2 linked regions of the Coturnix japonica genome follow. The protein of the gene in region 1 purifies or fractionates together with the protein of each later gene. This does not show direct contact. Links are inferred from orthologs where the notes say so. Each region holds a gene or a part of one and is shown in the gene's direction. Other genes may lie near its edges. The genes, in order: PAN2 and PAN3.

Region 1 (3,813 bases):
TTCAGGGTTGGGGGCAGCTGGGTGTTGTGTTTGTCTGGTATTCTATTGTAGCTGGAAAATGAATATTGAGCTTCTTGTTGGGGGTTGGGGGGGGAATGATTGAATGAGAGGAGCCCTTGTGACCCACTGTTGGGTCCTTGAGCACATCCAGCAAGGCACTCTATGAAGCAGTGCTGCCAAACAGAGCAGCCTCTGAGTCACAGTGTGTTTTATAGGCGAGCTCCTCCAGTAGATCCCGAGATTCTGCGCACCATGAAGAAAGTGGGGTTCATTGGTTACGCTCCAAACCCAAGGACCAAACTCCGCAACCAGGTATGAGCTCTCAGGAGGACGCTGTACCTGGTCCCGTTGATCACTTGTTCTTTGGCAGGGAAGGTTTGAGCTGTTTGGCCTGCAGGTTTGTGGACATGGCACGTCCCTGCCCTTGGGAAAACACTGCTGTGGGTCGCCCTTGCCCGCAGCACCGCTGTAGTTTCCCCACAGTGATAAGTCCCTCGTAAGAGGGAAGGTGTGGAGGACTCATGCAGGTTAAGGGAGGGCCCCTCTCCTTTCTGGTTTATTCCTTTGCTCATTTGGGGAGGCAGGAAAGCCCAGGAGCCGCTTGTTTCGGTTCGTGGTCCTTCACCTCAGGATTCAGCCGCTCTTCCTTTCTCTTCTCCCTCCCAGATCCCCTATCGGTTAAAAGAAGCAGACAATGAGTTTGACAGCTTCAGCCAAGTTCCTGAGTCCCCGATTGGGCGGGAGGAGGAACCTCACCTCTACATGGTGGCCAAGAAGTACAGGAAGGTAACCTTCTGAAGGACCCACATGGGCTCAAGCACCCATGGGGAGACCTGGATACTTTGTGGATGCCCTGTGGTGTGGGAGAGCGTTTGTTTGACACACTGCATCTCTCCTCAGGTCACAATCAAATACTCCAAACTGGGGCTGGAAGATTTTGATTTCAAGCATTATAACAAGACTCTGTTTGCAGGCCTGGAGCCCCATATCCCCAATGCCTACTGCAACTGCATGATCCAGGTGGGTGATGCCCAGCCCTGCCCAGGCCATCACAGCCACAGGACCGCTCCTGATGTCTCTGTCTCTGCTAGGTGCTGTATTTTTTGGAGCCTGTCCGCTGCCTGGTCCAGAACCACCTGTGCCAGAAGGAGTTCTGCCTGGGCTGCGAGCTGGGCTTGCTCTTCCACATGCTTGATCTATCCCGAGGAGACCCCTGCCAGGTCAGTGGCAAGCCCAGACAACGTGAGGCAAGAGTAATGTGGGTTAGAGATCACAGAGGAGCAGGGTGGTGCAGTGTCCTGAAGAGGTGGCATCAGACAGATGGAAACTCCTGTCATTTGATGGTTGTGACATAACACTCTTGCTCCATCCCCAGGGAAGCAACTTCTTGCGGGCTTTCCGCACAATCCCAGAGGCTTCAGCACTGGGGCTGATCCTGGCTGACTCAGACGAAGCCACAGGGAAAGTGAACCTGGGGCGACTGATTCAGAGCTGGAACCGTTTCATCCTTACTCAGCTGCACCAGGAGACCCAGGAGCAGGAGGGACCGCAGGCGTATCGGGGGGCTGGCAGCAGGTAAATCCCTGATCTGTGGGAAGGACAGAGAGTAAATGAGTGAGGGAGGGGGTCTGGCTCCCAGATGCCTCATCTGTCCCTCAGGAAAGGGGGGGTCTGCATGGGAACATGCATGTCTGCAGCTGTCCCTGTAGTGGGGTTTGAACCTCTGTTGCTTCTGGGTCTAGACCTGTGTGCAGAGATGTGTGCTCGGCCCTCTGTACCCCCCATCCCTGCTCAGCAGGGATTTTTGGGGTCCTGCTATCCCACGTATTCCTTTTGTTTTCTTTCCAGCACCTTTGGGTCCTCGGGAGATTCTGTTATTGGGCAGCTGTTCAGCTGTGAGGTGGAGAACTGCAGCATGTGCCGCTGTGGGAAGGAAACCGTCCGCGTGTCTTCCACGCTGCTCTTCACCCTCTCCTACCCTGAGAGCACTGGTAACAGACAGGGATGGGCAGGGCTTGTAGGTTTCACCCCACTGCTTTCCCCTTGGGGCAGGACAGCTAAGTGGGGGGGGTTCATTGTCTGTATGGATGAGTATAGATGTAGGTTTATTTGTGAGGTGACACCTGAGGAACTCCTGCAGCCATCTATCCCAGGTTGCAGGTCCAGTAGCTGAGCTTTGGGATGCAGGAGAGCAGATTTGGGGGTTGACCTTCTCCCTGGTGGTTGTAAGGAAAACCCCAGAGGTCTGGCTGAGCTAAATTGGTAAAGATGTGTATGTTGGAAGGTGATGTTATTGTCCTTTCTCCCTTCAGAAAAACCAGTCAAAGACTACGAGTTTGCCCAAATTTTAAAGAGAAGCATCTGCTTGGAGCAGAACACACAGGCCTGGTGTGAGAACTGTGAGAAGTATCAGCCCACGGTGAGCCAGAGGGGGGGGCTGGGGGGTGTGGGAGAGGGACGTGAGTGCTTCAGGCTGAGCAGGGGCAGTTTCTCCATCAGTCAGCAGGGAACCCTCTGAGTGGATGCAGGAGATTCTGTTCCTCAGCTGGTCTGTGAGCTGGTGTGATGCAGTGTATTCCATGACCTGATGGGGCTGCTCAGTGCTGGAATGTGGGTTATATGGATCCCATCTGAAGCCCCTGGGGTAGGGGGAAGCCCCCAGGAGGCAAACACACCTGTTCTGATGCAGCCTTTAAGGCTTTGGGGGTGTGATGAGTCTGCTTCCTGCCTCAGTTTCCCTTATAGTACACCCTGTGTCTAGCAGGCGGTGTGGGGGCAGCACTGCAGGCAAAGACTTTGGAAGAGGGAAAAGGATAACATGTGCTGCATCCAGTTCTGAGCCATTCCTGGGGCTCTTGGTTCTGCCTTCCTTCCATCTCTCCCTCTTTCCACAGGTCCAGACTAGGAATATCCGCTGCCTTCCAGATGTCCTGGTCATTAACTGTGAGGTGAACAGCTCCAAGGAAGCAGATTTCTGGAAGACACAGGCTGAGGTGGGGGAGACACTTTGGGGCAGAAACAGGCTTGTCCTCCCTGGCACACAGGGTTTGCTGCGTGTCCCATTCTTCAGAAGTGTTTTCGCTGTGATCTTGCTGTTTCTAACAGTCTCTTGCTCTCCACCCAAGCATCACCACACTTTGTCTGCAGAGGACTTGTCGGGGTTTGGTCATGCATGCAGCATGAGCTGTGCATTTGGAGTTGGAAAAGACAAGATCTCCTGCCATGACAAAGCTGACAGGACTTCAGTAGAGTCATGTTTTCATTCCCCCCAACCCCTTAGGACCTAGGAGCAACGAGGCAGTGCCTGCTTCCCCAAGTACAAGCACAGCACAGCTGGTGGACGGCTGGGTTTCCCTTGCTGTCTTTTTCCCTGTCACTGACTTTACAGTCTCTGTCTTTTCCTTGCTGCTGGCCTGGCTGTCACCCACGTGTTCCTGAGCCCTGGCTGTCACTCCATGCTGACACTTCCCTGTGTTTCGTTGTCAGTATGCCTTTCAGAGAGCCCTGATGAAGAGAGGAGGCTTTGAGATCACCAAAGGCAAAGAAATGTCTCTTGGAGATTGGTAGGTGACTGTTCCTGGGGTGGCAGCTCTAGTTGAGCAGCGATGCCTTCTGGGTTGCCCCACAGTCAGGGCCATTTCTTATTTAATAACCATCCCATAATCTGCCTGTGCATGCTTCCTTGTGGACCCTAAACTGGAACGGCCTCACGGCTGCTCTGAGACTGACCCTGTGTAGGTGCTCAGATACCCTTAGAACCCACAAGGGTTGTTCACGTACCCTTGTGATCCTCTTTTGAGCCACGTATCAGCC
Region 2 (3,813 bases), on another chromosome or scaffold:
TTGGAGGGACTTCTAAGTACAATTCCAGATCTTAAAAGGATGAACAGATCCACAGACTTGTAGAGTAGATCATAGAACTTGAGCTGTTACCGATCCAAGCATAGCAGTGAAGTAGGATAAATAAAGAGTAATGTCAGTTTCAAAGAACTTAGAAAAATGGATCTTGTCAAAAGTCTGATTTATTTGACTTGCTGACGTGTTTAGCTAATAAAGCCAGCTGTATAAAATGCTTGGATATCTTGAGGGCTTTCTGCTTAGTAGCACATCATCTTCTTTAACATCAAAATTGCAGAGGGGTACCTATTCAATTAATTTTCAAATTCCTCATATTTAAAATTCATTTGATAACAGGGAAACATTAGTGATGAAGGCTCTTTCTGAAGGTGTCTCCTAGAGGCTGGTTTTTAGCTGTATGCTACTTCATATTTCCAACCAAGATGGTTGTGATAAAATCTTTACTAGCAAATTCTTTCAGGAGATAGAGGTTGTTACAGGCTAATTTTTATTAATTGAATTGCTATTTAAATGGTTATTAGCTGCACAAAAGATAGATTTCTGGAGGAAAGAGACCTTGTACTTAAAACGTATAAAAGTTTTCTTTTGAAGTTGTGAATCACCTTAGTATGACTTAATAGTCAGTGTTGATTATTACCATAGTAAATGTTTGGTAAGCTGGTGTGATCCTTAAATATGTGAAAAGCATAATACTGTGTGTAAGCAGATGAATGATTGTACTTGATGACCTGTCCCTTGAACTGGCAAAGCTACTGCAAGAATAATGTTTACTTCTGGTGTCCTTGCTCCAAGAAGATCTGTCATTTATTGTGTGCCTCCTTTAAACTTCCTCTGCCTTGAAGCTGAAGAGGCCGAATGAATGAATGAATTTTTCAGTGAGGAAGGTTAAGGTTTAGCAGGAATGTGTAAGTTACTCTCCTTTTAGAAAGGCGGTGTACTCCAATTCCTAGGAAGTTTTTACCTTGTTTGGTGAGATAGAGTTGGTCAGAAGGTGGTAGTTTGATCCCTTATGAAATGGGAATCTGATTTCCGTAAGTTCTCGTGTTTGTTCCACTATCTAGCCAGACACAAGAGGAAAAAAACATTTCAGTTCCTAAAATTAGCTGGATGAATCCAAGCCAGTTTTGCAATCAAAACATAAGTCAAGCACTGGCTGTAGCTTGAATTATGCATCTTTGAGGGTGCATTGGTGTGTTGCATCATCTTTGCCAAGTTTTGTATTAGATGTACTTTGTGAAACAAATGCTAATTTATATTGCAAGTCAAATGGTTTTTAAAAAAAGTGCCTGAATTCAGAATTTCCTGCCTGAAGTTAATGTAGACTTTTTTCTCAAGCACTTTAAAATCAAATGCAATCTGCATTATGAAGGTGTCTGTGCAAAGAAGGATGGTATTTACATAGGTTTAAGTTTTATGTTTTGGGTATATCAGTCAAGGTTGGGTGATAATGAAGAATTTATACATGATACTGCCTCGTCGATTATTAAATGTTGGAAGTTTTTAAGTAGGAGACTTGATAAAAAACAAAATCATTTTAAGATTATTACAAACATTTACTTTCCCTAAATCTTTTGGAAATAAACCTAAAAAACAAACAAAGAAAAAAAAAAAACAGAAAAAAAAAACCACATTATGCTGAGTGAAGATGTATTGGTGCAGATAACTCTTCAGCAATTTGTTTGTTTACTACTATAGCAGTGTCTTCTGCTGCTCAACTTGACTGTACTTGGTAGCGAAAGTAAACAGGATCCCACCAAGATGGGATTTGTTGGTCTCGTTCATTTCTCTTTGCCAAAGTACAAAGCAATGCCAATGCACAGGAATTCTTGGTTACTTAGGAAAGAAAGTCTAGCAAATGCCAGTCCCATCTCCTCCATTTGTTGTCCTTGTTTCTGTTCTGTTTGCCACATCTGGTTTCTGTCTTCATTAGTGAGTGCCCTGTACCATGCTTTTTAACTTCTGTCACATTGCTTATCCATTTAAATTGTGCTGCTTAATCATACTTTAGCAGTTGATACAGAAACAGCAGGGATGTTCATAGACCTGGAAACATGTTCTTTACTTTGTGCCTCAACACCTGGAAGATGTGGCCAAAAGGGAAAGCTCCCTTCAGCTGCTGCAGCCAAAGGAAGAGCAAAGACTGCTACCCCTCTGGGTGGAACAGCTTTGAGGGGCTGTGACACATCCACCATCTCAGCAGTTTCCCAAAGTTTTAGCTCCAGAATTCTGAACAGAACTTTTAATGTTATCTGACTACCAAATTTTTGGCCTTTCTAAAAGAAATGACAGAAGCTCTGTTCCTTGTATGATTATATGTTCTGCCAAACATCGTATCCTTCCTCCAGAATATGGAACTGACATTCACAGTGAATAATAGCGTTCACTTCCTTACTTTTCACAGAAGTATCTTTTCTAAGAAAAAAAGTCAGCAAGTCTCTGTAGCTGATTATTAAATTCAGTCTGAAGAACTCACCCAGTGCAGTTTCAAGTTTGGCCAAGTTATAAGCACTTGAAATACTTTGTATGGGAAGAATTGAGCAGCTTCTGCAATGAATATTACTGTTCCCTACTAAATTGGGGTCCTGCTTTTAGGGTGAGCTTCAAAAGCCTGATGTTGCTTTTCACAATAACTTGTGGTAGCTGTTGCTTAAGTGAGTAAAACTGGCAGAAGTTTCTGTTGCAACTGAATCTGTATAGTGTGTTCATCTTTTAAGAAGAGTTCTACTCTTAAGGAAAATGGTTAGTAATACTAAGGATTTCTTCACAAATGGGGTTCTGTTCCATTTGTTAGCTGCACAGGTCTGTTCCTGTTTAGCTTCTTCAGGCAGTTTTTATCTTTTCACACAGGCCATAAGAGATTAAAATCTTTAAGTTGTTTTATTAAAACAGAAATATTGACCTGCTGGATTCCAGTAGGTCTTGTTTCTGGTTTAACAAATAATCCTTGATAGATATTTTTGTGTCTTGTATCAAGAAGATGTGCAATTTACTATCAGCTACTTGATTCCTCAGGACTGAGTGCATGCGTGGTTAGGAGAACCTCTTCTGTAGAGAGCAGAAGCTCTACAAAGTTTTCACTCTAGTATTATCCTTAAGATAAAGATGGGTAAATTTGAAGCTCTCAAAGATAAATATATTACCCTGAAATTGTTAGGTACTGAAATTCTCCTGTGGATGTTTTAACTACGCGGACAGCTGTATAGCACAGCTGTAACATTTAGTTGTTCAAATTCTTCAAAGGTTACTGAAGAACTGTCTTAAATGCCCTCTAGTACTGTATGTAATATTTATCTGTACTACGAATCTTATCTGTGCATGTTTTCCCTGTTAGCAAACAGATCTGATCTCCCTGGGGAAAGTTGTGTTGGCTTTGGCTTGCAATTCTTTATCAGGAATTCAGAGAGAGAATTTGCAGAAAGCGATGGAACTGGTGACAATCAACTATTCCTCTGATCTGAAGAATCTGATCTTGTAAGTTTGCTAACACACTTGTTTGCTGTTGTTTTTGTTTATTTTCCTGTAAAATGTTATTGAAAACAATGATAACTCTTTTAAATGTACAGTTGACATAACACTTTCAGATGCAAATAAGGATATGGTTTACTCTCATTAACTGATAATGCTTAATAACGTGCTGTCTGTGCAAACATCCAAAGTTAATTCATATGCGTATTTTTACAATGTAACTAATAGAAATCAATGCCCTGTTAAAGCTCCTAATAAAAGTTTATTAATGTTTTAGCAAATATACAAAGCAAGTTTACGTCCCAAAAAGCAACACAACAAAACAAACACAAA

The links.
Region 2: the proteins of PAN2 (region 1) and PAN3 purify together in Homo sapiens (co-immunoprecipitation; 5 studies listed by BioGRID and IntAct, with this or other methods). This does not show direct contact. The link is inferred for Coturnix japonica from reciprocal best matches to the Homo sapiens genes PAN2 and PAN3.

The regions. Positions count from the first base shown.
Region 1 is NC_029544.1:1,759,986-1,763,798, forward strand, and holds part of PAN2 (PAN2-PAN3 deadenylation complex catalytic subunit PAN2), read left to right. Parts: intron 1-215; coding exon 216-312; intron 313-666; coding exon 667-786; intron 787-900; coding exon 901-1,020; intron 1,021-1,091; coding exon 1,092-1,220; intron 1,221-1,375; coding exon 1,376-1,575; intron 1,576-1,848; coding exon 1,849-1,991; intron 1,992-2,312; coding exon 2,313-2,419; intron 2,420-2,894; coding exon 2,895-2,993; intron 2,994-3,486; coding exon 3,487-3,563; intron 3,564-3,813. UniProt on the Homo sapiens protein: Catalytic subunit of the poly(A)-nuclease (PAN) deadenylation complex, one of two cytoplasmic mRNA deadenylases involved in general and miRNA-mediated mRNA turnover.
Region 2 is NC_029516.1:157,364,050-157,367,862, reverse strand, and holds part of PAN3 (PAN2-PAN3 deadenylation complex subunit PAN3), read left to right. Parts: intron 1-3,346; coding exon 3,347-3,486; intron 3,487-3,813. UniProt on the Homo sapiens protein: Regulatory subunit of the poly(A)-nuclease (PAN) deadenylation complex, one of two cytoplasmic mRNA deadenylases involved in general and miRNA-mediated mRNA turnover.